Linked DNA regions of Arabidopsis thaliana. The main gene of each other region encodes a partner of the protein of the gene in region 3 in a complex. Each region holds a gene or a part of one and is shown on either strand. Other genes may lie near its edges.

Region 1 (8,830 bases), on a different chromosome or scaffold from region 3:
ATGATTATAATATAGTATAATGCTGGGAATAATTTAATCTAGTGCTAATTTTTTTCTATGCAGGTGCAAATGCTAACTAATTCTTATGTGTATTGGGTTATATAATCTTCGGTGGGGAGGGCCAAACACGACTAACTCAACAGTAAATGGTCAACCATATGTGGTATGGGCGGCGGTACATGTCATGCCCATTTCGTCGACCCTAAAATATGGTAATGTAGTATTTTTTCACAAAGGAGCATAATAATAATAGCGTTGATAAATAAATGGCTCCATGCAAATTATATATAATAAAATTATAACAGCATAATGATCATCAACATCATTTATTGCTAAACATCATCATGTTCATGCCCCCATGCATGATTACGATGGAAGAATCTGACATAAAAAATTGAAGGTCCAAATTGACAACGACTTCATCTTAATCTTATAATCTACATGTCAAGAATTTTATATAAATAAAATTGATTAAATTTATATAGGTGAAAAATTTCATATAAACGTGAGGAGGAGGAGGAGAATGAGATAAAAGGGTCCACCTGGGCCCAAAAACACCAACCCTGTTGAGAGATGTTAGGACCCTCGTGTGGGCTGGGCCCAGTCAAAAATCATTGTCTTGTTGTGTATAACAAACATTACAGGTTCACACGTGTGACACACTAGGTCCTTAAATGCTATGAATATATGTGATCTGATTTGTTTTATTTTACCATTAATAAGAAGGAGCTTAAATCGAACAAAACTGAATGATAAAACAAGATTTCACCACTGTATATATCGTAATACAATAATACATGCTGAAAAATATTAAGGTAAATGTGTAGATGTAGAGAACAACATGGCTTAAACACAACCAAACCCATAAATTTATTATTCATGGATATTGGATATATGCATTATATGCATTATTATAAATTAATTGACCTCGTATTAACATTTTTCTAGAAATTGGTGCAGGGGGTGAATCGCGTCTACATCTATGTATTTTACTACATCCCCGTCTGTAAGGATTCACTGGTTGTTCGGAGGGTGCACATGCAGAAGGATACCGATGATGATCACAAGGAAGATCAGGCTTCAACCCTGGATACCCAATTACTTTTCCAACCGTCATGTTCATGCTGCTTATGAACACACATGCTATGAATGTTGCCACTAGCATAAACCTATTTGTTATTTTCATATTGCTCATGATTTGTGTTTATTTATGTGTGTGGGAGAAATATATATTTGTTGGTAAGAATGGTACAGTTCGTGGTATTTATAGTGAATAAATAATTGTGAAAGAGTCTTATACAACTTTTACTTAAAAGGAAATTACAATAGGATGTTGAATTGACCGGTAGAAAATGTACCTACAGAATTCTTTAGTAATACATGTATTATAGATATAGTCCTTTTTTAGCCAAAGTAGTCAAACTAGCTTTTAGATATGCATGTTGTGGTCATAGTAATACTAATACAAAACAGTTTTATAGCCAAAGTAGTCAACAATATTTGAGTTCTATGTACTCTTTTTTTTTTGGTCAAAGAGTTCTATGTACTCTAATATAGTATATCAATATATTAGGTTTCATGTTCTTCCAGTACATGGAGGTGAAAACAAAGCACTTTTTTCTTACAGAAATTTTTTTACATCAATAATATGCAAATATCATAAACTAATAATAATTATAAATACACCAAAATAGTGTGTCAAAATTGGTTGTAGACAACTATTAGAATGAACACATCGCTGGGCTTTTTGGTATTGGGTTCAAAGTATATATAAAAATTCATGCTGGTTCTTTATTTGCCGCCCAACATAAATTAGTTGGACAAGTGAGAAGGCCTTGCTACTCCTACATGCGTTACACTATTACAGTATTACTATTGCTTCATAGAAAAATAAACCTCGTACCAAAATCTCAAATAAGTGTTTCTTGTGGTTCCTTATGAAAAATTGTTATACACTATTACAGTATTACTATTCACCGTTTATTGTCGGAACTCGGAACAACGTTTTCACCGTCCAATTGTTATACACACTATTCACCATATATACATTAATACATCACACATCTTCTACTTAAGAGTGTAGTGTACATTAATGATAATTTTGTAATTAACCTTTTTAATGATGGTTAAAATGTCTAATTAATAATTTAATAGTGACTTACTTGCTTACGTGGATAAAAGAGAGACCCCACACAAAAATTAGATTTTGCCGTCTGTTAAAAAAAAAGGCTTCTTCAGCCGATTTCTCCAAAAATCGTTTTTTTTTTTTTTTTTTTCATCTTCCGTTCAACGTTTTGCGTTCGACTCTTCCCTGACCCCTTTCAATTTTAAACCCTTTTTCTCTGTCTCTCTTGTCCGAATCAAATCCGGTTGCTGGAAAAGGGAAGCTTTGTGCTTTTGTCGTCGTGGTGGGGGAAGCGGAGGATAAGAACCCTAATTTTTTACGAATCGTGAGATCTCCTAAGTTTCTGAATCGGGTGGTGGCGATTTTGTTTCTTTCTCCGCGATGGCGGAATTAGGGCAACAGACGGTGGATTTCTCTGCTCTTGTTGGTCGAGCCGCAGAGGAATCGTTCCTTTCTTTTAAGGAACTTGTGGATAAGTCTAAGTCGACGGAGCTTTCTGATACTGAGAAGAAGGTTAGCCTCCTTAAGTATGTCGCTAAGACTCAGCAACGGATGCTCCGCCTCAATGCCCTCGCCAAGTGGTGTAAACAGGTTTGTCTTTCTCTGTTTCTCGCTAAGTATTAACGTTTTGGGTCTGTGGGTCGAAGTGAAAGTTTGAAGCTTTCTTGGACTGGAATTGGATATGTTGCAAGATTAGGGTTTGGTTTTGTTGATTGCATGATCTATTAGTTTTAAACACATTTCCCGTGGATATAGTTTTGATGTTTGTAGGATGATTTACAGACTTTGAATGGAATTGGAAGATCCTTTTGTGTGATCTTGTCCTTGATGGGTTTTTGTTGTTTGGATTACGTTGCTTGTCTACTAAAGTTTAGATTTGTCTCTTAAATTCCATGGAACTTCACATTCCAAGTAGGCTTATCAATGTTATCATGTACTTCTGTTATTTCTGCATATTTTAAGAAATTTATGACTGTAGTGTCTCTGTAAAAATTCAAGGTAGTTTACTTCAGATCAACGTTCCATTTTAAAAAATTATGATTTCATAGATTGTTGATGCTTGCTTGTGTTCACTTTCTTTACAGAGTAAGTATTCGAAAATTTATTGAGCTATTTATTCATTTTTGGCTAAACCTCCTGGGCTGCAGGTTCCTCTTATAAACTACTTTCAAGACCTTGGGAGTACATTATCAGCTCATGACATATGCTTCACACAAGCTGCGGATTCGCTGTTTTTTATGCATGAAGGTCTACAGCAAGCTCGCGCTCCTGTCTATGACGTTCCCTCTGCTGTTGAGATTTTGCTGACAGGTTCTTATCAGCGCCTGCCAAAGTGTCTAGATGATGTGGGCATGCAGAGCTCTTTGGATGAGCATCAACAGAAACCAGCTCTAAGAAAGCTGGAGGTACTTGTACGTTCCAAACTGCTTGAAATCACACTTCCAAAAGAAATAACAGAGGTGAAAATTTCTAAAGGTACAGTTACCTTATCTGTCGATGGGGAATTTAAAGTTCTTGTTACTCTTGGTTACCGAGGGCACCTATCCATGTGGCGGATATTGCATTTGGATCTACTTGTTGGTGAAAGAAGTGGCCCCATTAAACTTGAAGTGACAAGACGGCATATCCTTGGAGATGATTTAGAGCGTCGAATGTCCGTGGCAGAAAATCCATTCACAATTTTATATGCGGTGCTCCATGAGCTGTGCGTTGCCATTGTCATGGACACAGTCATAAGACAGGTCCGAGCTCTTCTGCAGGGGAGATGGAAAGATGCAATTCGCTTCGACTTAATTTCAGATACTGGTACCACACCAGCGAACCAAGAAGGAGAGGCAGATTCTGTTAGTCTTCGAACGCCAGGAATGAAACTTTTTTACTGGTCAGATTCTGATAAAAATTCTGGCCCATTTATTAAAATTGAACCAGGGTCAGATCTCCAGATTAAATGTTCTCACAGCACATTTGTAATTGACCCACTTACTGGCAAGGAAGCTGAGTTTTCTCTCGACCAGAGCTGCATTGACGTGGAGAAGCTTCTGCTTAAAGCTATATGCTGTAATAGATATACCCGTCTTCTTGAAATTCAGAAAGAGCTTTTGAGGAATACTCGTATTTGTCGAACTCCAAGTGATGTGATCCTTCAAGCCCTCCTGGATGAGCCTGGTATTGAGGTAAAGAAAGAGTTGTTTTCGGCTTAATGTTGAATATTTTGTTCCTTGAAAGTTGTAGGACTTTTTCCCAGGTCAGAGCTACTTACACTAGTTGGACATTTAGTATGTCACTTGCATGTCAATAGATAGATTTCTGTTTATGACACATAGCCCTTGCTAAATAATGCATAGCTTTCATGCTATAGACCATGAGATTAAGCATTAATAATCGCAAATTTAAATTTCAGAGATGGCCGAACCTAGGTTTCGATAATTTATATTTTTTCGAAAAAGTAGTTTAATTTTTGCAGTTCACATGGCCTATTGCCTAGCTTCTTTTGGCTGGGGAGCTAGTATAGTTAGGCCATATTTCTCTTGCTGTCTCAACAACTAATTGAATTTAATTGGATCATTTTCTCTTTCGCCATTCTTTTAGGGAGATAACATGGTAGACTCTAAAGAGCGAGTAGAGCCAGAGGTCTTACGAGTGCGAGCCTATGGATCTTCATTTTTCACACTGGGGATAAATATAAGGTATGATATCTTCATCTATGTATTGGGAGAGATCTTATTTTAGCTGACTATTCTCACTATATGTTATTGATTGCAGGACTGGTCGGTTTCTTCTACAGTCATCCAAGAGTATCTTGACCTCCTCCATCTTGGAGGAATTTGAAGATGCGTTAAACCAAGGAAGTATATCTGCAGTTGATGCCTTTATCAACTTGAGAAGCAAAAGTATTTTGCATTTTTTTGCTGCTATTGGCAAATTTTTGGGTCTTGAGGTAGTAATTGTTTGCCTCAGCTTGTTGTTCAAATTCACTCTCTGGAGTTGGGAGTGTTGACGTTTGCGTTTAATGCAGGTCTATGAACATGGTTTTGGTATAAACAAAGTTCCTAAAAGCCTCTTGGATGGGTCAAGCATTCTGACTTTGGGATTCCCTGACTGTGAAAGCTCTCACCTTTTGCTAATGGAGCTCGAAAAGGACTTCACACCATTGTTTAAATTACTGGAAACTCAGATGGATGGTTCGGGAAAACCTCAGTCTTTCAATGATCCAAGCAATATTTTGCGAGCTAAGAAAATTGATATAGGGCAGATACGGATTCTCGAAGATGATCTTAACTTGATTACATCCGATGTGGTTAAATTTGTATCTTCATTCTCGGATGCTGAGGGCATAAATCAAGCATCTGGACACCGTCAGCCTGGATTGGTTGACGAGGCTTTGACAGAAATGAGTGGAAGCCAGTTGAGTTTCTCTAGTGTCGTAGATGGAGTGTTTGGACTTCAGAAAGTGACATCTGCTCTTATGTCAATTGATGGACATGGTTTAGTTCCCAAAAATCTCTCTGCTGTTACCGGCCATGGAAAAGCTCCAATGTTGACTAGCTATCATTCAGATTCCTTGTATAATCGACAGGGTCCCTTACAATCTAGCTCTTATAATATGTTATCATCTCCCCCTGGGAAGGGTTCAGCTATGAAGAAGATAGCCATCTCTAACTCTGACCAGGAGTTATCCCTGATACTGTCTCCATCCCTCTCTACTGGGAATGGAGTCTCTGAGTCAGGCTCTAGACTGGTCACTGAATCCTCATTGTCACCTCTTCCCCTATGTAAGAACATTTTTCCATAGCCTTTTTTTTTACCTTCATAGAACTTTCTCAATATTAGAATTCAAAAATTTCCGTTATTTGCAGCTCAAACAGCTGATCTTGCAACATCATCTGCTGGTCCTTTGTTAAGGAAAGATCAGAAGCCCCGGAAACGTTCAGCTTCAGATTTGCTAAGATTGATCCCATCCCTCCAGGTAGTGGAAGGTGTTGCTAGTCCCAATAAGAGAAGAAAAACCTCTGAACTGGTACAGAGTGAATTAGTGAAGAGTTGGAGCCCTGCATCACAGACCTTATCCACTGCCGTGTCAACATCAACAAAAACTATAGGATGCAGCTATGGGAATCTCATAGCTGAAGCAAACAAGGGGAATGCACCTTCAAGCGTTTTTGTTTATGCTCTTCTCCATGTGGTCAGGCATTCTTCGTTGTCCATAAAGCATGCCAAACTAACTAGTCAGATGGAGGCATTGGATATTCAATATGTTGAGGAAATGGGACTAAGAGATGCATTTTCAGATATATGGTTCAGGCTTCCATTTGCTCAAAATGATTCCTGGCAACATATATGCTTGCAGCTTGGTAGACCTGGAAGCATGTGTTGGGATGTGAAAATAAATGACCAACACTTTAGGGATCTCTGGGAACTTCAAAAGGGAAGTAAAACCACACCATGGGGTTCTGGAGTTCACATTGCGAATTCATCTGATGTTGATTCTCATATCCGTTATGACCCTGAAGGTGTTGTTCTGAGCTATCAGTCTGTGGAAGCCGATAGTATAAAGAAGCTTGTGGCCGACATACAAAGGCTTTCAAATGCTAGAATGTTCTCCCTTGGTATGCGGAAACTACTTGGCATAAAGCCAGATGAAAAAACAGAAGAGTGCAGTGCTAATTCCACTATGAAAGGATCTACTGGAGGAAAAGGCAGTGGTGAGCCAGTAGATAGGTGGAGAGCTTTCAAGATTGAGGCTGTGGGATTAACAAGCCTGTGGTTTAGCTTTGGTTCAGGCGTTTTGGCGCGTTTTGTTGTCGAGTGGGAATCAGGTAAAGATGGATGCACCATGCATGTCTCTCCTGACCAACTATGGCCACATACAAAGGTGAGTAGTTCGCAGGACTTAACATTTGCTCTCTTCATGGGAAATATTTTTATTATAAGAGTTCCAAATATATGCTTTTTCTCATCGTGAGTTACTCTTGTACAGTTCTTGGAGGATTTCATAAACGGAGCAGAGGTAGAATCCCTTTTGGATTGCATTCGCCTTACTGCTGGGCCTTTGCATGCATTAGCTGCCGCTACTCGCCCTGCCCGAGCTAGTACTGCCACTGGCATGCCTGTTGTACCTGCTACAGCGTCTTCAAGACAATCAAATCAGATACAACAAACTCAAGGAATCATTGCCCCTTCAACTTTAGCAGCTCCTAATGCTACTGGCCAGTCTGCCTCAGCAACTTCAGGAAATACTGTTGCTTCTTCTGCTCCAAGCCCACTTGGTGGAGGTTTCCATGGAGTTGCAATGCTAGCAGCTGCAGGGAGAAGCGGACCTGGCATCGTTCCAAGCTCTCTCTTGCCCATCGATGTCTCTGTAGTACTCCGTGGACCCTATTGGATAAGGATCATATACCGTAAACGTTTTGCAGTAGACATGAGATGTTTTGCTGGAGATCAAGTCTGGTTGCAGCCAGCAACTCCACCCAAGGGTGGTGCTTCTATTGGAGGCTCCTTGCCATGTCCCCAATTCAGACCTTTCATCATGGAGCATGTTGCTCAAGAATTGAACGGTTTAGAACCAAATTTGACAGGTAGCCAAGGAGCAACAAATCCCAACAGTGGAAACCCAACTGTTAACGGTGTGAACAGAGTTAACTTTTCCCCTTCTAGTGCAAGAGCTGCAATGAATCGAGTAGCCAGTGTTGCTTCAGGATCTTTAGTGGTTAGCTCAGGATTGCCTGTGCGTAGAACACCAGGCACTGCTGTACCAGCGCATGTAAGAGGTGAATTAAACACAGCGATAATCGGTTTAGGTGATGACGGTGGCTATGGCGGAGGATGGGTTCCTCTTGTGGCTCTTAAAAAGGTTTTGCGTGGTATCCTTAAATATCTTGGAGTACTGTGGCTATTTGCTCAGTTACCAGATCTCTTAAGAGAGATCTTGGGTTCCATCTTGAAGGATAACGAAGGCGCTCTCTTGAATTTAGACCAAGAACAACCAGCCTTACGCTTCTTTGTCGGGTAAGCCAAACCAAGAAACTTATGCTCAATCTTGAAGGATTATGCTTAAGCTTATCTATTGTTTTGTTTTTTTGTTGTTTTTGTTTTTGCAGTGGCTATGTGTTTGCGGTGAGTGTCCATAGAGTTCAGCTCCTTCTTCAAGTCCTTAGCGTAAGGCGATTCCATCACCAAGCACAACAAAATGGTTCTTCTGCTGCGGCTCAAGAGGAGTTAACCCAATCCGAGATTGGAGAAATCTGCGATTATTTCAGCCGCCGTGTCGCATCAGAACCGTATGATGCCTCAAGAGTTGCCTCTTTCATAACACTCCTCACGTTACCCATATCGGTCTTGAGAGAGTTTCTGAAACTGATAGCTTGGAAAAAAGGATTATCCCAATCACAACAAGCTGGAGAGATTGCTCCTGCACAGAGACCTCGAATCGAGCTATGTCTAGAGAACCATTCTGGTACAGATTTAGACAACAATTGTGCAGCTAAAAGCAATATCCATTACGACCGGCCGCACAACACGGTTGACTTTGCGCTAACCGTTGTTCTTGATCCTGTGCACATACCCCATATAAACGCGGCTGGAGGAGCAGCATGGTTGCCTTACTGTGTATCAGTTAGGTTAAGATACACATTTGGCGAAAATCCTAGCGTGACGTTTCTTGGAATGGAAGGAAGTCATGGAGGTCGAGCTTGTTGGCAGCGAGTG
Region 2 (9,213 bases), about 12 Mb from region 3:
CGTACATGGTTGGGTATGGTTCGAGGTTTCCACAGAAGATTCATCATCGTGGCAGCTCGGTTCCTTCAGTTGTGGACCATCCTGATCGTATAGGGTGCAAAGACGGATCTCGTTATTTCTTCAGCAATAATCCTAATCCTAATTTGCTAATTGGCGCCGTCGTTGGTGGGCCTAATATCACCGACGATTTTCCTGATTCGAGACCTTACTTTCAGCTGACTGAGCCCACTACTTATATCAACGCACCTCTTTTGGGCCTACTTGGTTATTTCTCGGCCCATTATTGATTTCACACCTCGAACTCGAACGAAGCATGAAAGTCTATTTTTGTTGTGAAACATTTTTAGTTGATTGTTACCGATTAGTAGATTCACTAGATTCTCTAAATCTACGAACAAATAATTGTATAAATTAATCGAGTACACAATAATCAATTTTTAATCATATGGGAGTTAGGAAAAACAAAGAGTAATAATGAGAGAAAGGGGGAGACAAGAGTAATTAATATTTTGATGACCAAACTAATCAAAAATCAGGAATTTGTCTTTTGGACTTTGGTCGGCTGCTTTACGCTTAACACAAAAGAACGCTATTTTGTCTCCTCCACGCAATTACCTCTTCTCACTCTCAGACATTTTGTCAAACAGATGGTGCTCGTTTCTGAATCAGCTTAAGAACTAACAAGGAGACAGACACTAAGCTTGGTTTTTCTCTCCGATTAGACGGAGGAAAAAGTGAAAACGAGGGGCTTAGACGAGTGATGTGATAGAGATGGAAGGAGTTGAGCTAGAATTAGAAAGAAGAAGCAAGTTCTTGAACAGTTTGATACAGAAGAAGAAGGCTAAAGAACAGCAAGATCAGAAAGATGAGTTCAATGTTCGTGTTAGGGCTTCAGATATGCCTTTGCCTCAACAGAACAGAGCCTTTAGTTTGTCGCGTGAGATTTTGAATGCTACTCCAGGGAAGGCTGATAACAAAAGACTCGCTCATGCCCTAAAAAAGGTTAGATCTTTTGTATCTCTCTCATGATTTTTCTGTATTTGGGTTGAATTGGAGTCATTGAAGTCTAGTACTTGGATTGAGTTTTGAATTTTGACACAGAATCTAAAAGTATTGAGCTGCTTTTGGGTTCTAGGGCTACGTCTCAAAGTCGCATGCTTTTTGTAGAATGTGGTTATGGTCTTCTCTTTCTTGATTGGTTTGAAGATGTGATGAATCTTGAATTTGGATTTTCGTTTGTGTACTTGCATATTGTTGAACTTCATGGATGGTCCCATATTTGTTAGGTTGCATTTGACTTTGTTCCATTGTTGTTGTCTTTTCTATTTGTAGCTTCGGTTAGTCTACTTGACTAGGTTGTTTTTGTATTGCGAGGATAACTGTAGTAGGAGTCTCGTTGTGAAATGTCTTGAAACTGGATGTTCTTGTTGTTTATTGAGATGATTTTGGAGCTGTCTTAGGCCATAACTAATGAGGCATAGCATGCACCATCTGCTAAGCTTCTGTATCTTTGCTGTTAGAAATTAGTTGCTACCTAATGATAACTCTGAAGCATGCTTGCTTTAGGAAGTGAGCCTTGCCTGAATACAACCTTTTACAAAGGACTTGGTTCGACACCCCATATATAGAGTTGTCCATTTATGCAGTTGTTTCTCGTGAGGATATTGTTCCTTCTTAAAGCGGCTTTGATAATTAGCTTTTGATTTTAACTTATGGAGCGAAATGGAGCAGTTCCCTCAATTTATGCGACTAGGTAGAGGCATTGATTGATCCATACATTGATTTTATGAAGTGGTTGAGTAAAACAATTTAGTGTTCACTTATCTGTGTGCAGCTTACTTGTTTGTCTCAGTGTTCATCAATCTCTTAATAATGGCTACCTCCCTTTGGCTTTTAGGATTGACATACGAGTCAATTTCTGCTGTTGTCTTGTTTTATCTTCTTGTTCTGGTAATATAGATCTCTTATCTCGAAATAGATCTTCATATGTTTCTTGTCTCTATGTTTTCTCCTAAATCCAGCTTCTATGTTATCCACTGAAGTGAATCTTAGACTCCCATCTGTCTAATGACATGTTGCAGCTGATTTAAAACTATATATTCACGAAACAGTTTTCCATCTGTCTTCCATTTCAGGACTTCGATTCAGCCTACGGCCCGGCATGGCACTGCATTGTTGGAACAAGCTTTGGTTCATACGTGACTCATTCCACAGGAGGATTCCTATATTTTCAGATCGACAAAGTTTACGTTCTTCTCTTCAAGACTGCCGTGGAGCCGTTAGATCAAAAATGAGATAAAACGTTGATGATCAGAGCATCTTCAATTTAATCCTTTTCTTTTAGAATTCTCTGTCTTGTATCCCACAATGTAATTCTGCCTAAGACAAAATCTTTGTGGCTCCTATTGTGTAATTAGAAGTCATCTTCTCTACTGTGAATCGTTTCAACTTCACAATGCAAAATATTGTTCTTCTCTTTCTCAAATTCTAATTTTGTTTTTTTCGTTGTTGTGTTGTTGTTGTTGTTGACATTTTCTTCTCTTCAAAAGAGCTTTAAACCCAAAACCTCTAATACCAATTTTGCTCCTCCGTTTTATAAGCATCAAAGAAAAAAAGAATCAGTGAAGAAGAAAAAAAAATGGATCAATCGCAGCGAACAGTCGCTGCAACGCCATCGTCTTCTCGATCGTACCAATTCCACCCAGCTCGTGCTGCAATTATCGATCTTTTCAATCTCTACTTAGGGGTTGGTTAATCTCTTCTCCAATCTCCCAATTTTTTTCATCGAATTTTGTTTCTCTGCTGATTTTGCTTTCTCTATCACAGAGAGGAAGCCGTCAAAAGCCTGATGAGTCCCTCCGAGATCCCCCGTATGTTGTTTCTATTGATTCTGAATCAACTCTTGTTTTCTCTTCCTTCTGTGTTTGATTTTATCCATGTTGATTGTTTTGATCAGGAACAAATCACAGAAGCGTGTTCATGCTCCTAATAGAGACTTACCACCAAGAAACGAGCAATTCCTTTTGGATTTTGAGCTGCTTCAGAGCCAATTCAATGTAAAGTCTCGTTTTTTAACTATCTTTATCTTTCTCTTTGTGATTTCGTAAGATAAAGTTTTTTTTTTTTTTCCAACTCTTTGTTAGGATCCAGAGCAATTGAGGACGATTACTGAGTCAGTTTTGATATCTCTGGTGGTGCAATGTAGCAATCATGCGCCTCGTGCTGAGTTTCTACTCTTTGCTTTGCGTACATTGTGTAGGATTAGTTATATCAATTGGGATACTTTTTTACCATCCCTTCTCTCTTCCGTTTCCGCTGCTGAGGCGTCGTTAAGCCAAGGTGTTCAAGCAGCAGCGGCAACGGCTGGTTCTTCTGCTACTTCTTCGCAGTCTGTAGTTCCTGTGTCTGTGAATCCAACGTCATTGCTGCCTTCAGCTCATGGTATTGGTTCTCCATCAGCTTCAGAGGTGAAATCTGTGGAGAATGGGCAGCAGATTGCAAGAGCTGGCCAGATTGTAAGAGAGAATGCTATGAGAAATAGTCAACGGATTAGAGCTGCTGCTGTAAACAGTCTGCGTCAGCTCAGTTGCAAGATTATCTTGATTGGCGTTGAATCTAGTCTCAAACCCGTTACTCATGCCGAGATTTTCCAGTACATGATGAATTGGCTTGTTAACTGGGACAGGAGAGATCTGGGAACTGAGGACTCTGTAGGAAAGTCGTGGAGATCTGAGAAGACTTTAGCTGAATGGTTGCGGAGTTGTTTGGATGTGATCTGGCTGTTGGTAGAAGAGGGTGAATCTCGAATTCCGTTTTATGAGTTATTGCGCAGTGGTCTACAGTTTATAGAGAACATACCTGATGATGAAGCCTTGTTCACTCTTATCATGGAGATACACCGGAGGCGAGATGCGATGGCCATGCATATGCTCATGTTGGACCAACATCTTCACTGTCCATCATTTGGTACCCATCGTATAGTCTCCCAAATAACTGCCAATGTTCCACCCGAAGCTGTGCCACACTTACGACATTCACCAATTACATATCCAAGTGTGCTTGGGGAACCTTTATATGGAGAGGTGATTCCTATGAAATTGTGGAGATTGGTTTCATAGCTTAGTTGGCTCTTGTTGATATTGTGTAATGTATACGCTTTTCATTAGGCAGACAATTTGTGAATTTCAATCCTCTCTTCTTCTTTTTCGACACCGGCAGGATCTGGCGATGTCTATTCCAAAAGGAAGCCTGGATTGGGAGAGAGCAGTGCGTTGCATTAGACATGCTATTCGCACTACACCGTCACCGGACTGGTGGAAGCGTGTTCTTGTTGTGGCCCCTTGTTATAGACCATCTACACAAGCAGGGCCTATCCCTGGTGCTGTATTCACTTCTGACATGATTTGTGAGGCAATCATTGACAGAATTGTTGAGCTTCTTAAGCTGACCAACTCAGGCAATGTTTGTCTTTCCCTATTTCTCATGTCTTTGATCTGTCACTTCCATTTAAATCTGTGGAAATTATTTTGAAATAGCAAGTGGTTTTGCTAGTCGTCACAATCTGTAAAGAACCTACATCCTTTACGTTTTATTCTAGTTCTATAATCGTTGATTCGTTAGGCTTAGATAGAAAAGATAAAAGTAAGAGTTGAGATACCATTATACTAGGATTGCTTTGGTATTGATTTGGTATCTGTTACTTTTCCCCCTCTCTATGCAGATGCAAATTGCTGGCAAGAGTGGCTGGTTTTCTCGGATATATTCTTCTTTCTAATCAAAAGTGGGTGTACTGATTTTGTTGATTTCATTGACAAGTTGGTTTTACGCCTTAACGGTGTTGATAACCATATTCTTCGGACGAATCATGTGACTTGGCTGCTTGCACAAATAATACGCGTGGAGCTTGTGATGACTGCTTTGAACTCAGATGCTAAAAAGGTCGTTACTCAATTACAATGATATGTTTGCAGCTGCAATGCAATTACTTGTACTTCTTTTTCGGCGAATTTAACATCCCAATTTGTGCTCTATTTGGGTTTTCTCTCAGGTGGAGACTACTAGGAAGATCTTATCATTTCACAGGGAAGACAGAAATTCTGATCCCAACAATCCTCAGAGTGTGTTGCTTGACTTCGTAAGCAGTTGTCAGAATCTACGGATTTGGTCACTAAGCACAACAACTAGGGCATACCTAAACAATGAACAGCTGTTGAAGGGAAAACAGATCGATGAGTGGTGGAGAAGCAAAGGTACATAAGGTTTCAATGGCAGGGCTTAGACTAGGAAGCAGAGAATCCCGATTATAAAAAGCATCCTCTCATTCTGTTTCTTGTTTGGGGTTGTCAGGAGAGCGGATGATGGATTATATGAATATGGATGATAGGTCGATTGGCATGTTTTGGGTTGTTTCCTACACCATGGCACAACCAGCATGTGAAACAGTTATAAATTGGCTATCTTCAGCTGGCATGGCTGAGTTACCGGGATTACAGCCAAACGACCGAGTAATGATGACGCAGGAAGTTACCCCGTTACCTATGTCATTGCTATCTGGCTTTTCAATGAATTTGTGCTTGAAATTGGCCCTTCAGATGGAAGAAGCTTTGTTTGTTAGCCAGGTTTGTTTCCTTTGTCTCACAAAGATATTATATATGTTAATTGATACACTGATCTATGAAGAACATCTTCTTTGGTCATTTTTACTTAGTGACCTATTTTCTCCACGGTTTAGTAAAACAACTTTAGCGTTTTACTTGTTTAAAAATGTTAATAGTAGATTTTAAAAAACCTGAGAAAAATGAATTTAGTGTCGTAGTAAAACATCTGAGTGCAGGTTGTTCCTAGCATTGCAATGGTTGAGACATACACAAGATTGCTTCTGATTTCCCCTCATTCGATGTTCCGTTCACATTTCAGTGTAAGCTATTTGGTTCCTTCTGTTACCTTTTGACTTTCATTATCTTATGTTTTATTGATCATAAGCGATTCATAAGATTAGCTAACTTTCTGTAGCAATTGGCCCAGCGAAATGCTTCTCTGCTAAGCAAGCCTGGAGTGACGTTACTTGTTCTTGAGATTCTGAACTATCGGTTGCTGCCACTCTACAGGTAAAACGAGCGAAAAGTTCTCAAGTTGGAGTAGATCCTTCTTTATGTTTTAACTGGGTCATTCTTTTAGTTAGATGACAATTGTTTCGGGCTTTCGCCATATTGGCTGTTAGACCCGACTAAACAAAATTACTGATCTTATTGCAGATACCAAGGAAAGAGTAAAACTTTAATGTATGATGTTACTAAAATAATATCTGCATTGAAAGGAAAACGTGGTGACCACCGTATATTCAGACTAGCTGAAAACTTATGCATGAATCTCATTTTATCACTCAGAGACTTTTTCTCTGTGAAACGGGAGGGAAAAGTAAGTGGTGTTTTCGAATTACTCACTGTCCCCCTTCTTATTTTGTGCCTGGATCTCAGGTGTAAATAATTGTTCTTATGTTATCATCACTAGGGGCCAACTGAATTCACTGAGACGTTAAATCGCATAACCATCATGACTCTTGCTATCACTATCAAAACACGTGGTATCGCAGACCCTGATCACATGGTTTATCTGCAAACCATGTTGGAACAAATACTCGCGACGAGTCAGCATACATGGTCAGAGAAGACGATGCGGCATTTCCCATCCCTTCTCCGTGAAACTTTGAAAGGACGGGTAGACAAGAGGGGCCTATCAATTCAGGCATGGCAACAGGCTGAAACAACTGTGATAAACCAGTGCACTCAACTTCTCTCACCATCTGCTGAACCCGCTTACGTTTCAACATACCTCAGTCACAGTTTTCCTCAACACCGTCAGTATCTATGTGCTGGTGCTTGTCTGCTGATGCAAGGCCACGCTGAAAACATCAACAGCACAAATCTGGTTTGCTTTGCTTAGTCTATTCATAATTGTGAAATGATTGTTTGTTGATAGTGGTATGATTTTCTCTTCCAAATGATTATCAGGCACGAGTTCTGAGAGAAGTTTCTCCTGAAGAAGTCACTGCTAACATATACACTTTGGTCGATGTTTTGCTTCACCACGTTCATGTAGACCTTCAGCAAGGACAATCTCTAGAGGTTTCTGTCTGCCAGAAGAGATTAACCTCACTTTTCGTTGCTTGATCCATCTTCTTACATTGCATCGTAATATTTTTTAGGCAGTTCTAGACAAGGCAGGCGCAAATCTTGCATTTTTCTTCTGGACACATGAAATGCTTCCTCTCGACATTTTTCTTTTGGCGCTCATTGACCGTGATGATGATCCTCACGCCTTGATAATTGCAGTATGTTCATGCTTTTACGTAAAAGAAGCTTAACATCATAGAAATTTTACAGTGTTGTTTTCAATTTATTTACAGATGAGCCTACTTAAAACGCCAGACCTTCTGCTGAGGATAAAAAACTACTGCCAAAACCGTGGGTCTCCTGAGCACTGGCTTGTCACACAGGTGTTCAAACGCAATGAACTCCAGAAGGCCCTGGGTAACCATCTTTCTTGGAAGGACAGGTAATATATCCAATTCAACATCAGTGTAACTGATTTCTAACAACAATTTCACTTAAGTACATGGCTTTGATTGTTTGATTGGTTTTGTTGGCATCCAACCATAAATGTGTGATGGAACCTTCCATGAAAACTTGTGTATGACTAGGAAATAGTTGAATTTTGGTTTGATCTGTTTTAATTTTGGTGTTGGATTCTGCTAAAGTTGGGTAAATGTTTTACCTATTTTTTTATTGTGTTAAACGCAGGTATCCAACGTTCTTTGATGATATTGCAGCGCGTTTGCTTCCAGTTATCCCTCTAGTGCTTTACAGGCTCATCGAGAACAATGCGATGGAGCAAGCTGATAATCTTTTGCTTGCACACTCGCATTTTCTAGCGTATCATCCTCTCAGATTCACGTTTGTCCGTGATATACTAGCCTATTTCTATGGCCATCTTCCTGGGAAACTTGTTCTGCGCATGCTCAAAGTACTTGATCTCAGCAAGGTAATTGAAAACAATTCCCGATCTTACATTGATTCTGAAATTGACCTCAAGTTGATGCCGCTTTTGGATTTTAGTTTAGAGATTTTGTTTCTCACCAATTTATCTAGATACCTTTGTCCGTAATCGTTTCCACATTCGATTAAAATGGAACGTAACAAATCTTTTGACATTTCCGCAGATTCCATTCTCTGAATCATTCCCGCAGTACATTAGCCCTACCGGTGCACCTGTATGCCCACCTCTAGATTACTTTGCCTCTCTTCTGCTTAATCTCGTAAACAATGTTATACCTCCACTTAGCAGCAGCAGCAACTGCAGCTCGAGGTCTGGCTCAATGGCAGACATCTTAAACAGCTCAGCAAGACCTCCTCATGGAAAAACTCCAGGAACATCTCAGCCTGGACCAGCAAACGCCTCTGAGGGCCAGAAAGCATTCTATCAGATCCAGGACCCAGGAACTTACACGCAACTGGTTCTTGAGACAGCCGTGATCGAGATCCTCTCGCTTCCTGTCTCTGCTGCTCAGATTGTCTCTTCGCTTGTCCAGATAATTGTCAACATACAATCGACTCTGATTCAATCTGGAAACGGGTTCCACGGCGCTGCCAACGGGGTGGGACAAGGGTCGGTACTGCCAACGTCTCCCTCTGGAGGGAGCACAGACTCCATGAGCGCTAGCCGGTCCACTTGTCTGATTCCTGGTATCAACACAGCGAGCTTTGTCTCTAGAAGCGGTTATACATGTCAGCAACTGTCGTGTCTGTTGATTCAAGCTTGTGGACTTCTGTTGGCTCAGCTCCCTCCAGATTTTCACGTACAGCTTTACTTGGAGGCAGCACGTGTGACAAGGGAAACATGGTGGCTTAAGGACGGGAAGAGATCACAAGGTGAACTAGACTCAGCTGTTGGATACGCTTTGATGGATCCTACATGGGCTGCTCAGGATAACACCTCGACCGCCATAGGTACGCTATAGTTTCTGGATCTAGAAGTGAAATGTTTGTTTGGATTTTGTTTTTACATGTGTCTTCTTCCAGGAAATATTGTCGCCTTGCTTCATGCTTTCTTCAGCAATCTCCCACAAGAATGGCTTGATGGCACGAATGCTATCATCACGAACCTCCGGCCTGTGACATCTGTGGCAATGCTCAGAGTTGTATTCCGTATCATGGG
Region 3 (5,959 bases):
CCTGTTCGCGGCCGCTTGGAACCCTGTAAAGAATGTTATGTTACTTATTGGTTAGCTTCGTGAATTATTATAAAATAAGGAAAACTACATTATATGATGTTGATTAAGCATGTTAGTGCTACAATCGACAATTCAATTTCCTCATCAGTACCATGCAAACTCCATCCCTTCCATAGATAAAAGTCGTACCATTTTTAGGCGATCATCATTACAAGTAAGACCAGATTGCCTACACGTCAAAGAATCTGCATCAGCGTCAAGATCACCAGTTCTTGACGTCATCCTCCAGCCGCTCCCGCTGGAAGCGCTACTTGTTGAACTAATGCTGCTATTACGGCTACTACCACTGCTATTGTAACCATTTTTTTCATAAAACCCATCACTCTTATTTTCAGACGCACCAAGGCAGTCAAAATCACCAGCCCTGCATAAAATAAAGTTCACATATACAGGGATCATGGACAGACTGTTATAATGAAAAACAAAATCGTTACGTATAACATTGGAACAAAACTCGGAAATGCCACAGCTCTCACTCCTATGGTGCTTCAAATAATGAAGATTACAAAACATTCGGTTTCTCAGAACAGTTTGGGCATTTCAAGACCTCTGTTTTGTGGATTTCTTTTGATCTTCAAATGTCGACGAGATAGATGAAAAAGACTCACCAGTGCATAAACAAAGATGAGCCTGCTAGTGACGGGCCTATCCAGTTTTGAAGCCAAAATCTGCAAGTATGATTTCACCTTGCATCAGCTCCAAGCTGAGGAAAGATCACAACTATTACATCTATTTAACATGGGTCTGAAACAATTACTAAAACTTCCACTACGATCACACAGAGTCAATTTGTTTTAATACATACATGGAATTCAACAGAAACGAAATAAATTTTATGTATAGCCAATCTGGATCTTACCGTTAAGTACTCAATGAATTCTAAATAACCACCTCACCTAGTCAATTTACCTTTTCAAAGAAAATTTCGCAAATGCCGACTGTAAGATTGGTACAAGCACTGCCTCAGCTGGATAGATGAACTTTTTTTCACAAACTGATGAAAGATCTGATTGTCCTTTACGGTGATCTTTACTCCCAACTGAAGGTTCAGGACACTGGTTATGGGGCAAGTTAACTGCAAAGGTCGAATTAGCTTGACTTGTGTTGTCATTTCTATTTTGGCAGCAACCAAGTGTAACTTCCACGTAGCAATGATTGCCATTTATCAGACGGGACCCACGACCAATATGAGAAGGGAGACCAACATATCCAGTCGAAGTTTTTAAGTTTCCAGAACTGTGTGAGAAAAAAGTATTAGTTGAGAAAATTGGATTAATCAGATTAACGGCTACGCACTCACAAAAAATGTTGACTTGGCATTCGAAAGCAAAGGTATGAAATGTACCTGAAGTAGACTTGCTTGACAAGGTCATTGGGACAGAATCCAGTAAGGCTGCCCCGCATTCCATGAGGAGAAACAATAACTGGTGGGAATAACATAGGCCTGTGAGAAGTGTTTCTATCAAATAAAAAGCTCTTATCTTTCTTTAAGCATGTGTAGAAGGCGGATTTCATTTCAGGTATCAATTCAAAAAGTTTGGCTTCATAGAATTACATGTAGCATAATCTATTATCCTCACTCTTGGCCAATCCCAAACATTTACGAAAAGCTCTTGTGACATGCAAAAAAATGAGGTGTTAAATCTTTGCTTGATGAAGCTAGGTAGCAGTAGCACTAGACTACACTAGGTTTCTTTTTGGAGTGGATGCATTGAAAATTGAGTTCAAAATGCTCTCAATCTATACAGTATTCTAACAGTACAAAGCAAGAAGAGGTCAACAAACATCTAGAACTAGTTCCATCAAAATCGTAGACAAGTAGGATAATTTATCAATCCAAATGATGATGGAAAAATAACTAACCTGGAAGCCTATAACTGGAGTTTTTCAAAGAACTCCTTAACATTCTTTCAGCATCGCCACTTGAAAGTGTGCGGACATTCCTTCGTGCATAAAATATTATAGTTAGTTTCAATAACTATGTGAAGCACTAAACCATAACTGAAACAGTATAACAAAAAGCTTTACGGACTTGGCAGATATAATGACATGGACAAAAACTGCCTCTTCGGTAGCAGCAAAGATGAATTCAACAGTAGGCTGTCCCCTCCTACATAAATATCCACAGAGCATTAGCGAGCCACAGAGCATTAGCGAGCCACAGACCTAATCATAGAATTCTTTGGATTCTAAGAATTACACTCAGGAAACCTAGGTCTCACAGACCCTATTTAATGAAAGCTATAGGATAATACATAATCGAAAAGCCATAGAGAAAAAAGACGATATATTTGCTAATAAACCATCAGAGATTATAACGCATGGTCTCGCTTATATTGGTAAGAGGTTGCAGATACCTCAAATATTCTTCGCTTTGAGGGCTGAATTTTGAAAACACATCTCCAAATCTCATGTAGGAAATTCCAGATAATGCTCTGTGGCGATATCAAACAAGTTAATATGATACTCTAATCCATTATTTCCTTAATCCAACCATTATGTCTGCAGATAATAAAAAACTAACCTTTCGATGCAATTACGTAAAGACTGTGAAAAGGCAACTGATATCTCTTCAGAGTCCCCAGGTGCTACCCAAATTCCTGACGCAACAACTTTCAACAGGAGAAAAAGAAAAGTAAGGACAAGTATACCAAGATAACCATAGACCACAGGCATGTTCACTAAACAGTCATAATCAGAATAGAGACAATATGTTTGAATCTATTGAGGCGACAAAATACGATGAAGAAAATAAATCATAAGGAGAATATACCTCTAAGCTTTGACACAGCAGCCTGAGCTTTATCAGATATTGATGAATGACGCCCAGGTAGAAAAAGCCAAAGCTTAATCTTTTCATCTGAGCAGCAGCGAGGAATGATGGTTAGATACAACTGTAAATAAAGTTACAAAATTTAAAAGTACCAGATTGAGATTTAGCATTACCAGGGTTGTATAAACCTTGAGATGGATCCCAAGGTCCAACAAAAGAATTGGTCCAAGTGGTAAGAAACCCTTCCTTCTGCAACCGTAGATGAGAGGAAAGTACAAGATATGTTGCAACTTCATTCTGCTCAGCTCTTGAACTGAAAAAAAAACTCCAGAGTGACCAGACTAATTAGTACAATGTCAATAAGGAAAAACTAAAACAACCCATTGAAAAAGCTTAAAGCTTTAACCTTCTATCAAAGCCAGGATTCAGCTCAGTTTCACTTGGAAGAAACTGAAACCAAGAAACATTATGTAGACCACCCTGTAGAAGAAAAATCATCATGTATTACCAATAAGTCAATTTTCACACACAATGGGAAAAAGATGATAGAATAAGACTTACAATTCTGAAAACATTAGTCCACATCACTTGGGGATAGATACAACAAGTTCAATCCTTTTTTTTCTTCAAATTATAGGCTATAACCCCAAAATCATCGTCTTGAAGCGCTCGGAATTGGAAGACGTTGTCAATTTCTAGCTCGATCTTCTCTTGATGTTGCGAGGTTTATATCTCTCTTTTGATCAAAACTCTTCAATACATCATAATCATCTCAACACGAAATCTCTCGTGGTTTTCATAAAACCAGATCCAAACGCGCTCTTTAGGGTTCTTTTTTTTTTGTTGCTCTTACTAATTCTTTTTTTTTCTGTGGCCCAATTTGTTTTAGTCAGGCCCAATTCATTATTTTCACAACACTCTGGTTCAAAAAAAAAAACCGCCAACCACAAGCATCATAAAAGAGTTTCCTCCAAATAAGGTGTTTAATATCAAGTGTTTTTGAAGTTTTGGTATTAAGATCTCATTCTTTCGAGTTTGTTTGACTTGCATCAATCAAATGAACCAAACAATGCTATGGTTTTACTTTATATTTTCTAGATTTTGTATACCACGATATAGCTAGACCTCGAATGATCTTAACGCTATCTTTGTATCGTTGGGTGCGGCTAGTTGTCTTCTGGTTCCATAGGTCATTCGTGGTGATACTATTCAGATGTCTCAAAGCCTTATGGGATGTATGAGTATCGTCCGAAATATTTTTACAAATTTAAACAAAAGATAATCTTGAGGAAAATTAAGATTATAATCTGATATGAAATATATACACCAAACACAAACACAAACATAACAAAGTCAAAGTGTTTAGTCATGTAAATGTGAATCAGGCTAGAGAATTCAAGGACCGGTAGATTTGATTTAATCGGTTTTCTTATTTGGACCGAGCAGTACCCAATCATGTGTAGATCAACTACTACTCAGCAGATCTTATTTTATTCTAGTTAAACTTAAGATCAAGGCTTTATATTCGACTTCGTAAGGATAGTAGTTCTTGCTTAATCTGATCTCTCAAGACTCTTCTCAGTAGCTTGCTAGAAGCTGTTCTTGGAAACTCCGGCACAATCTTCACAAAACTCACCTGCAATATTTTTGCAAAATCCATTTTTAAGCACACAAAAAATCTTATAATAACTTTGAATTTATAGAAAAACTCATCAAAGATATTGATTACCTTGAAGAGAGGATTAAGATCTTTTTGAATGGTTCTTGAAAATTTCATCTTTAGCTCTTCTCCACTCTGTTGCTTGAACCCTTCTTTCAAGACTGCGAATATGACCAGCAACTCTGGACCACCGTTAGGTGGTGTTAAGGTGACTGCAGCTGTCTCAGAGATGCACTCATCAGCTTGATCACACACACGTTCGATCTCAATAGAACTCGTCTGCGTTATAACAGATAAACAAAAGATGAAAACTTGAGAAAAGTTCCAACTCTAATCGAAGTTGGGTATATAGACATACAATGTATGTAGTACCTTAATGCCTCCAAGGTTCATGGTATCATCAGCTCTACCTTGAACATTGTAATATCCTCCAACAGTTCGCTTCACAATGTCACCGTGTCTTCTAAGTCGCTGCAGAACGCAACAGAACAGAGGAATCGTTTAACTGACGTAAGTTTGCAATTTTGTTTAGATGTAAATATAGAAGTTCTAAAACTACTCACTGTTTCCTTATACATGGGCATTCCCTTGAAGTAAACCTCGTCGTGATTTGCATTCAGAAGTCTATCCGTGGCCCCAAGGTGCTGGGGGAACAAACCGACTTCTCCAGTACATGGTTGATCATCCGGCTGCAAAAACCAGTCTACATCAATCTCTGGATATTCTAAGAAAATACTCCAAATGTCTAAAGTTTCAGTTTGTCACATATGGGACGCCATTTTCATCGAAGATGATGATTCTAGTTGTCATGGATGGTGTGCTAAACGCTCCAAAAGCCTGCGGTTGAAGAGGGCTTCCTATGATGTATGACGAAGCAAGTTCCGTGCCTCCACAGCATTCGATCACAGGTTTGTAATCAGCTTTAGAAGAAAGCCAGAGAACATCGTCAACATTGGAAGCTTCTCCTGTAGTGGCGAAAAACCTAACAAAACACAACAGCTTCTAAGTTAAAATTTCTCGTATAAACCCGAAAACAAAACAAGGTTTGTTGCTCCTTACTTAATCTTTGTCCAATTAAGCCCTTCCATACAGTTTGTTCTCTTCCAAGTTTTCACCAAGCTTGGAACAGTACCAAGAACTGTAACTCCAGCATCCTGAAGTAATATCAAGCACAAATAAGTGAGGATTTATCGAACCTTACTAAAATTGAAAAGGAGACAACAATGGAGATGTCTTGCCTGAACAAACTTTCCAAAACCGCGGCCAAGGGGAGACCCGCTGTAGAGAGCGAGAGTTGCACCAGTTAGAAAGCAGGAGAACATAAGAGTTGGTCCCATTACCCATCCAAGATTTGTAGGCCAACAATATGTGTGACCCACTTGGACATCAAGATGAGCCCATCCATCACAAGCACTACGAATTGGTGATAGTTGTGTCCACGGTATAGCTTTCGGCTCACCTGGTTA
Region 4 (7,131 bases), on a different chromosome or scaffold from region 3:
TAACGATTTTCTTTGTAGAATCATTGAATCATGCGATAGTAATTATAGAAACAAATGATAAGCATGATTCTCTTCTTTATTGAATCATTGAAAACATGCTTTTACCGATCTATACTATAATCATCGATCGGCTCATATTGTTTTGTTTCAATAATAGAAAATAAATACTATGAACCATGAGTCGATAAGTAAACATGGTTCTTAAAAAAATGTAAGAATCTCTATATCTACCTTTTAGAGCGTCCTGATAACGTGTTATAAACAGAGAAAGAGATAGAAGAAAATGAGTGTGTTATTCCATTGAGGTAAAGGGTTCTTTATATAGGATTACAAGGAAAGGGTAAAACCTTAGAAACATCTAGATGATGAGTTTAGATGATGGGCGTTATAATGAGCATCCATCTTTATTCATAACAAGTTGAGGTTTGTTTTGGGTTTTTTCCCTATAATAAAGCATTTATTTCATATAATATATAGTAAAATATTTATTTTATATAAAATTAATTTAAAGAAAATTATGCATTGAATATTTATATTAAAGAAAATAATATATCAAATCAAAGCCTTTGAGATGATGAGTTCAATTATATCTTTAAAACTTTTGAATACAAATATATGTTATAGTGAAAACGTTTATAACATATGCAAAATCGCACAAATAAATTATATTGTGTATTATTTTAAATTTTATAAATTTATTTTGCATTTTTTGAATGTGCACAATAAATTGTAAAAATAAGCGATTTTGAGTGATTTTTTCGCAAATTCCTAAAAACCAAAGTAAACTAGTTTTTCATATTTGTAACAAAAGCAAACAAAAAATTTAAAAGAAATGGTAACTAAATTTCAAAATTTGATTGAGGTAACTAAACGAGTCGTTGAGCTAAATAAGTACATAAAAAATGAGTATATAAAATTAAGTTGACAAGAAACAAAACAAATTGTCAGAAAATTTAATAGCTTTCGAGTCGCAGTTTTAAAGCTCTCTGTTTAAAGTTCAGAAAACAGGTAAACTTCATAGACACGTCGCTCTCTCGAGTCCCGTGTACAACAGAAACGCGTCTTCGTTTTGTCTCTATAACCCCATCAACGGCGTCGAGATGTTCACGTCGATGCCACGTGTCGAATTCTCAATAAACATGTCAGAACGAAAACAATCCTCCACCGTCCAATCTCTGCTTCACGTTTTTAACCTCATACAATGATACAAGTAAACAAAGTGTACTAGTGTAGTGTGAAAGTACCATACAACTAGAGAAATCTGGTGAGTGTATTAATGTTAAAGAATGGGCCAGGCCTTTGGTACTACAAAATACAGGCATCGGCCCATTACAAGCCCAAATTATTTAAAAGGGGTTATTGAGGATTTTGGTGCCTTTGTTGAGCATTCTGCATCATGTTATTAGGCTGTAGACTCTGCTGATTCGTCTGCATATTTCCATAGCCTCCTTGTTGTTGCTGCTGCTGCTGCTGTTGCGATTGCTGAATTTGTGTTTGCTGTGTTTGCATCATTCCGCTGGTGTTAAACACTGTAAAGATAGGACAAATGAAATAGTCAGGGAATCGATTTTGATGTAAGAAAACATGTTTTAGAAGAGATTTGTTTACTTACTCTGGTCACCCAACATTTGAGACGAATGGCTTCTTTGGGGATTGGTACCCGAAACTCCAAATTGCTGACAACCATAAAAATCCAAAGAGATCATCAGATTAAGACAATGTTCATCGTTCAGATTTGGGAAACATAATGAGTAGAGGAGTTTTTGAGCTAACCTGCATCCTAGGAACAAGTGTCTGAGATTGCATAGATGACATGTTTGGTATCTAGAATTAAAAGAAAAAGTACGTAGAAAATATGATTAGTAATTGTTTCGAATCATCAATTCAAGAGGTTAAAGAGAGGTGACTGACCATTTGGCTACTTGGGGAGCCTTGTGCAGAAGTAAACAATGCACTATTGGCTCCACCTGAAAACTGGTTTAAGTGACGGTTCATCGCTGGATTGAGCTGTCCTTGAGACATGCTATGCTGAATATGTCCACCTGAGAGCTGTCTAGCTTGGAATTGTTGGTGCGCGCCCATTGGCTGGGAATATGGCATTTGATGTTGCCCATGTGACTGAAAAATAAGATAAAACTCACACTTAAAAGACAAAAGCTTGTTTCATAATTTCATTTGATTCTACTGTTTGAAACTACGAACTGTCACAGTTACTTTTATATAAAAGCTTCTGCCAAGTCCCAAGATCTAGGATAACTTTTCAAGAGTATGAATCATTCACTTGGTATATGTAAACTTGTATAAATACGTCTAGTCATCTTCATTTATGGCCATAACTACTGCATAATGATACAAATAATTGACCAAGGTAGTGTCTGATCCTTTTCACTTCACACATCTATCCCCTAACTATGTTGTAGTTCTATTTATCTTACCGTCTGAAACTTTTGCTGAGCTTGCCCATGCATATCATGAAGTGCTGGTATCTGACTCTACACAAAGAATTAGCATGTTGCTCAATAAAGCAGTATGGTAGGAAAAAACAGTCAATTGCTACGTCTGCAAAATGTCAAAGCCTACTTGACCCAATCCCTGCATAGAAGATTGCCTGAGCTGTTGTTGTTGTTGTGCAAGTAGTTGCTGCTGCTGATGTTGAGGCAACTGCATTAATTTTGACCTTTGCTGCTGCTGTTGAAACTGTTGTTGCTGGATTTGATGCTGAGGCGAAGGCACATTAACCATACCCGTAGCGCGAGGAGAATTGGAATATGGTAAGGGAGATGTTGTGTTATCAAAATTAGGACCAGATGGAGATGCAGCTGATCTTCCCACAAATTGAGTCCCGGAAACCTAAAAACACACAAAGACATGAACCTCGAAAGACAATGATACTAACAAAAGTAATAATCATCACAACTAGAGAGAATAAACTAGTTTAACCTGCATCATTCCTTGATTGTTAATGTTGTTTGATTGCCCAGGTAATGCAATCTTACCTAATGAAAGAGAATTTTTGGAGCCATTAACAACGTGAGAATACCATTGGTAGTAGTAACAAAATAAAGAAGATTCAAGCATTGGGTTTACTTCTACCAGACAGATCAATGAAATCGTTACCTGCATCATTGATAATTAGCACATCTGCCAGATGTGGTGGAAGTGCAGTGGTTATCTGTCTCTGGTCTGGAGGCAGTTGTGTTCCTAGAAACAACCATTGTAAAAGAACATGAGAAGGAATTCAGCAAAACAGAAAACTGCAGTTTCGTACACTATCAAATGACTCAATAAATTCTAAAACCCTCTTACCTTTACCGTCATTTACAGCATCTCGTAGCATTTTCTCCTGCTCCTGAATCTTTGCAGCTTGACCTTTATCCATAGTAGGAAGCATAGACGGGCCTTGACGAGTGCCAAATCCGTAAGCTTTACGAGTATCAGCTAATACTCTTTCTGCATTTTCACAAGCTGCTGCAATCATATCCATCCTCGCCTGTAATAACAGATACCATTTCAAAAACCAGCAAACAAATCACAACAAAAATACATTACAAAACTAACCTTAAGCCTTTCGATTTGCATTGGTATAGGCAAACTCTGAACACCTTGAAGCAACTGCTCTCTCTTGGCATTGTCATCAGTTTCCATCTCCGGTAGTAATTTCGAAGACAACATAACCGGTAAAACTGCAGATTCACTGATAAATGCTAAGCTAAACCAGTTCATCACATTCACAATTCATTTAACTCATCAACTAAAACAACTAAAAAAAGACCATACTTGCAGCGTTCATAGCATTGACGTTCTTAGGAAGCACAACAAACGCATTTGAAACTCTCTTTACTTCTTCCACAATGTTAAAAAGCTCGAGATTTACCATCGAATACTGCCCTAGAATATCCTGCCTGTTCAAAACAAAAAGAAAATCAATCCTTGTTACAAAAAATTCATAAACATCAAAATATTATCAAATTCTGGATTCGATGATGATGAACCATTTAGGAGTAGTGTTGGTTCGACCATAAGCGTCGAAATCTTCAAGGATTCGAGCAATGGCTTTGGCCAAGCTAACGGCTCGTGTCTTCAACGACTCCAGATTCAGTTCCTTCTCCAGTTTTGGATTCAGCTTCTCAGCTACCGGAGGAGGAGGTGGTTGCTGCGGCTGTGTCTCCATTGATAACACAGAGCTAATACACAAACCCTAATTCCAAATTTAACGTAATTAGGGGTTTTTAACATCACAGCGAATTGAACAAATTAATTAGGTTTCCGATTTGAAATTGACACAAAAGTTTCGATTAGAAACACACACAAAAGAGAAACTTACGAATTAGAAAACGAGGAATGCGCAAAATCTCGAAGAAGGCTTTGATTTGGAGAAGTTAGTTATTGGAGAAGACGAGAGAGTGTGTTTGAGAAATAGAACCGGGAAATATAATAACATACCGAATCCATAACATATATATGTGTTTCCTCTTTGAAAACTTACAAGGTTGCAACAAATAGACAGAGCGGATAAATCCGTTTGCAGACTAGACCAATATGTCGCTAAGACGGACAAATCTGTTTGCGGAGTAGACCATTATATTTCTAAGACGGACAATAATCCGTTACGGACCAAGTTTTGTTTTTTTGCTTTCAAATAAACTATTTGTTGGTCCGTAATAGAGTTTTGCGTGATTTGTAGATATAACACTTTTTTACTAAATAATTAACCAACTAACACCATAAATTTGTAAATGTAGTAAATAACCTTCAAGGAGAGTAAAAAGACATCACTGTCCTGGTGTTACGCTTCGTCAGCGAAGAAGGAGAATGATTAGTGTGAGCTGACGTGACTTTATTATTGGTGTTGAGGTGAGAAGAGAAATAGGTGGTAGGAGAGAAATTCTCTTTTCTCTTTCTTTTTTCTTTACTCCTTTTCAATTGTAACTCATATTATCTGATCTTAAAAAATTTAATTCAAGTTCATGATATATCTATTAAAAAGTTGTATAGTTTTCTACAAATATCATGACTTAAATTTTTGAAAATAGACACAAAATAATTTAGATGTGAATAGTGTTGTCAATGAATAACATAACGTTCTATATAAATTGACAATATTTTTTGATGGAAGTATACTAAACCCTAAAGGGATAATATATAGGGAACCCAAGGGTTTAAATCTAAAACATTAATGAAATCACTTAACATCTTTAATCAAAACAAACAATTCATTTTAAAACGTATATAGAACAAGGTATACGTAAATAGTATACTATTTACAAAATAGAATAGTATCTCTCAAAATGCAACAACGGAACTCAATTTCATCACCAATACACCAAGCGCAACAACGGAACCCTATTTCATCATCAAGTGCAACAACGAAAGTCAATTCCCTGAACCTAACTTGTGTTCCTCGCTCTGTAATTCGAAACCCCCAAATCAAATATCACCCTAAAGTAATTAAGAGACTCTAATTTGAAATAAAAAACAAGTAACGAGGTAGGTGTAGGAACTTTATTGGGAGGAGAAAGAGAGAGGGGGAGAAAAAAAGAAAGAGAGAGAAAGAGAGAGAGAGAAAAAGATAGAGGGGAGAGAGAAGGGAAGAGAGAGGTAGACGGAAAGAGATAGAGGGGGTAAACTTGGAATTAATATATAAAATATAGAGGATATCATTGCTTTTTTTTTTATGCTAGTTTCTTAATTATATTTTTTTTTGGTTAGTTTTCCAATTCCCCTAGAGTTTTTATATTTTTTCCTATTTACTAAACTGCGGACCAAAATTATGAATAGTGAATAAAAAACGGTCTTTGTACGCAAGTTAGTCCGTCCCATTGTAAACCCACTCAAGGAAATGGTTCTTACAAAGTAAAACTATTTAAGAAGATATTAGTAACTTGTGTGAAAGATACTGTTGGCTTTGTTGATGGTTCTTGGTGATTCAAAATCCTAGAAGAATCATCCAATGTAGTCTCTCTAACCCATAAACATAAGCTTCCTTAGTTCATCCTACATAACTTGTAAACTTTTGTATAAATCACTTAATAAACAAGAGTACTTTGAAGACAAAAACAAAAACAAAAATGTAGTAAACATTGTTTTGTTTGTTTGTTTTACATTGAAAGAATGAAAAAGAATAGATACAGAGGCTAGAGTTTGTGGGAAGGGAAGGAAGAGAGAGTTTCTCATCTTTTGGCTGTCATGGCGTTACTTTGACAGCCCTCCAAAGACACTACTAACTTTTATCGCCGGAGAAATATGGAAAACCTCAAAAAATCTCATCTGACTGAGAAATTATGTATAGAAAAGAATTAAGTGACATCTATTGAAGATATAGAAAAAATAAATGAACACGTATTGTGTGTGGTTTGGTTGCACAATCTACCAGGGATTACCACTGGTTTTTTTCTTCTTGGAACCAATTCAGAAATCGGCAGAGTTTTAGCTTTCTTGCTGTTTCTGAAAAAAAATATTGGTTTGAGTTTCTTCAGTGAGATGTTTTATCATCATTCATCAAATCTCTCTCAGTTCGGCTGCTGCATCTATAAGAAAGAAGAACAAATTGTCAAATCAGTCTACAAAACAAAAACCCATTTAGAATCTCTGAGAAAGTTTTGTTTTGGTTACCTGGGAAAACAAGTATTCGTCGAACATTGAGATTGAGCAAGGCAAGGAGCTGCTGCTAGAACCAAACCTGGTTTGGTTGGTGTTGTCGTTGTAAGCAGAAGAATCAGGTGGTGGTGCTTCAAAGAATCCATTCATATGATACTCTCTCTGATTCATTGGAATATACACCTGAGCATGCGGAAGAGTAAGAGGAAGAGGAGGAGGAGGCAACGTTTGGTGATGATTCATATCATTGTGAAGATTGGGATTGTATGCTGTGATATTATTATTATTAGTGAACTGCTGCTGCGAGCTTGTGTCCTGTTTCAGCTGTCCGGTGTTTAGTTCATCAAGAAAGCTTGTTTCTTGACCCGGAATTGTCATTTCAGGAGATTTCCCTGTTCCAAAGTAGCCTGGATAGCTCCCGAATGAAGAACTCGCTGAGCACTCGACTTCCCTTTTGAGGATAGACAAAGATTTGGTTTTAAGATATGATTCAATATTAAAAGAAAGAAAAGTTCTCTCGGTGAGAGTTTTCAC

Evidence for each region.
Region 1: GCT (region 3) and SWP share a complex: the UniProt entries of both Arabidopsis thaliana proteins name them as parts of the mediator complex.
Region 2: GCT (region 3) and AT1G23230 share a complex: the UniProt entries of both Arabidopsis thaliana proteins name them as parts of the mediator complex.
Region 4: GCT (region 3) and MED8 share a complex: the UniProt entries of both Arabidopsis thaliana proteins name them as parts of the mediator complex.

What each region holds. Positions count from the first base shown.
Region 1 is NC_003074.8:1,291,531-1,300,360, forward strand, and holds the start of SWP (RNA polymerase II transcription mediator), read left to right. Parts: upstream 1-2,267; 5' UTR 2,268-2,506; coding exon 2,507-2,716; intron 2,717-3,273; coding exon 3,274-4,299; intron 4,300-4,714; coding exon 4,715-4,812; intron 4,813-4,888; coding exon 4,889-5,063; intron 5,064-5,141; coding exon 5,142-5,898; intron 5,899-5,982; coding exon 5,983-6,998; intron 6,999-7,103; coding exon 7,104-8,131; intron 8,132-8,223; coding exon 8,224-8,830. Other genes in the region: RALFL21 (RALF-like 21), read right to left, coding at 878-1,195. UniProt on the Arabidopsis thaliana protein: Component of the Mediator complex, a coactivator involved in the regulated transcription of nearly all RNA polymerase II-dependent genes.
Region 2 is NC_003070.9:8,241,843-8,251,055, forward strand, and holds the start of AT1G23230 (mediator of RNA polymerase II transcription subunit), read left to right. Parts: upstream 1-2,597; 5' UTR 2,598-2,638; coding exon 2,639-2,746; intron 2,747-2,826; coding exon 2,827-2,870; intron 2,871-2,956; coding exon 2,957-3,056; intron 3,057-3,143; coding exon 3,144-4,082; intron 4,083-4,218; coding exon 4,219-4,461; intron 4,462-4,668; coding exon 4,669-4,938; intron 4,939-5,047; coding exon 5,048-5,249; intron 5,250-5,346; coding exon 5,347-5,618; intron 5,619-5,833; coding exon 5,834-5,917; intron 5,918-6,012; coding exon 6,013-6,107; intron 6,108-6,254; coding exon 6,255-6,417; intron 6,418-6,510; coding exon 6,511-6,927; intron 6,928-7,010; coding exon 7,011-7,124; intron 7,125-7,204; coding exon 7,205-7,330; intron 7,331-7,405; coding exon 7,406-7,554; intron 7,555-7,799; coding exon 7,800-8,040; intron 8,041-8,218; coding exon 8,219-9,005; intron 9,006-9,077; coding exon 9,078-9,213. Other genes in the region: GH9B6 (glycosyl hydrolase 9B6), read left to right, coding at 1-287; AT1G23220 (Dynein light chain type 1 family protein), read left to right, coding at 772-1,002, 2,136-2,294. UniProt on the Arabidopsis thaliana protein: Component of the Mediator complex, a coactivator involved in the regulated transcription of nearly all RNA polymerase II-dependent genes.
Region 3 is NC_003070.9:20,635,053-20,641,011, reverse strand, and holds the start of GCT (RNA polymerase II transcription mediator), read right to left. Parts: upstream 3,633-5,959; 5' UTR 3,419-3,632; coding exon 3,395-3,418; intron 3,314-3,394; coding exon 3,240-3,313; intron 3,147-3,239; coding exon 3,007-3,146; intron 2,921-3,006; coding exon 2,834-2,920; intron 2,673-2,833; coding exon 2,585-2,672; intron 2,496-2,584; coding exon 2,418-2,495; intron 2,171-2,417; coding exon 2,093-2,170; intron 2,004-2,092; coding exon 1,924-2,003; intron 1,671-1,923; coding exon of another isoform or gene 1,616-1,670; intron 1,520-1,615; coding exon of another isoform or gene 1,485-1,519; coding exon 1,406-1,484; intron 1,297-1,405; coding exon 970-1,296; intron 729-969; coding exon 669-728; intron 425-668; coding exon 190-424; intron 24-189; coding exon 1-23. Other genes in the region: AAE18 (acyl-activating enzyme 18), read right to left, coding at 4,353-4,469, 4,563-4,772, 4,866-4,964, 5,057-5,182, 5,259-5,475, 5,553-5,647, 5,732-5,952. UniProt on the Arabidopsis thaliana protein: Component of the Mediator complex, a coactivator involved in the regulated transcription of nearly all RNA polymerase II-dependent genes.
Region 4 is NC_003071.7:903,018-910,148, reverse strand, and holds MED8 (mediator subunit 8), read right to left. Parts: upstream 4,637-7,131; 5' UTR 4,325-4,636; intron 4,199-4,324; 5' UTR 4,172-4,198; coding exon 3,993-4,171; intron 3,903-3,992; coding exon 3,778-3,902; intron 3,684-3,777; coding exon 3,559-3,683; intron 3,491-3,558; coding exon 3,307-3,490; intron 3,202-3,306; coding exon 3,118-3,201; intron 2,997-3,117; coding exon 2,941-2,996; intron 2,851-2,940; coding exon 2,581-2,850; intron 2,493-2,580; coding exon 2,436-2,492; intron 2,119-2,435; coding exon 1,912-2,118; intron 1,825-1,911; coding exon 1,774-1,824; intron 1,677-1,773; coding exon 1,613-1,676; intron 1,530-1,612; coding exon 1,357-1,529; 3' UTR 877-1,356; downstream 1-876. Other genes in the region: AGL30 (AGAMOUS-like 30), read right to left, coding at 6,580-7,048. UniProt on the Arabidopsis thaliana protein: Component of the Mediator complex, a coactivator involved in the regulated transcription of nearly all RNA polymerase II-dependent genes.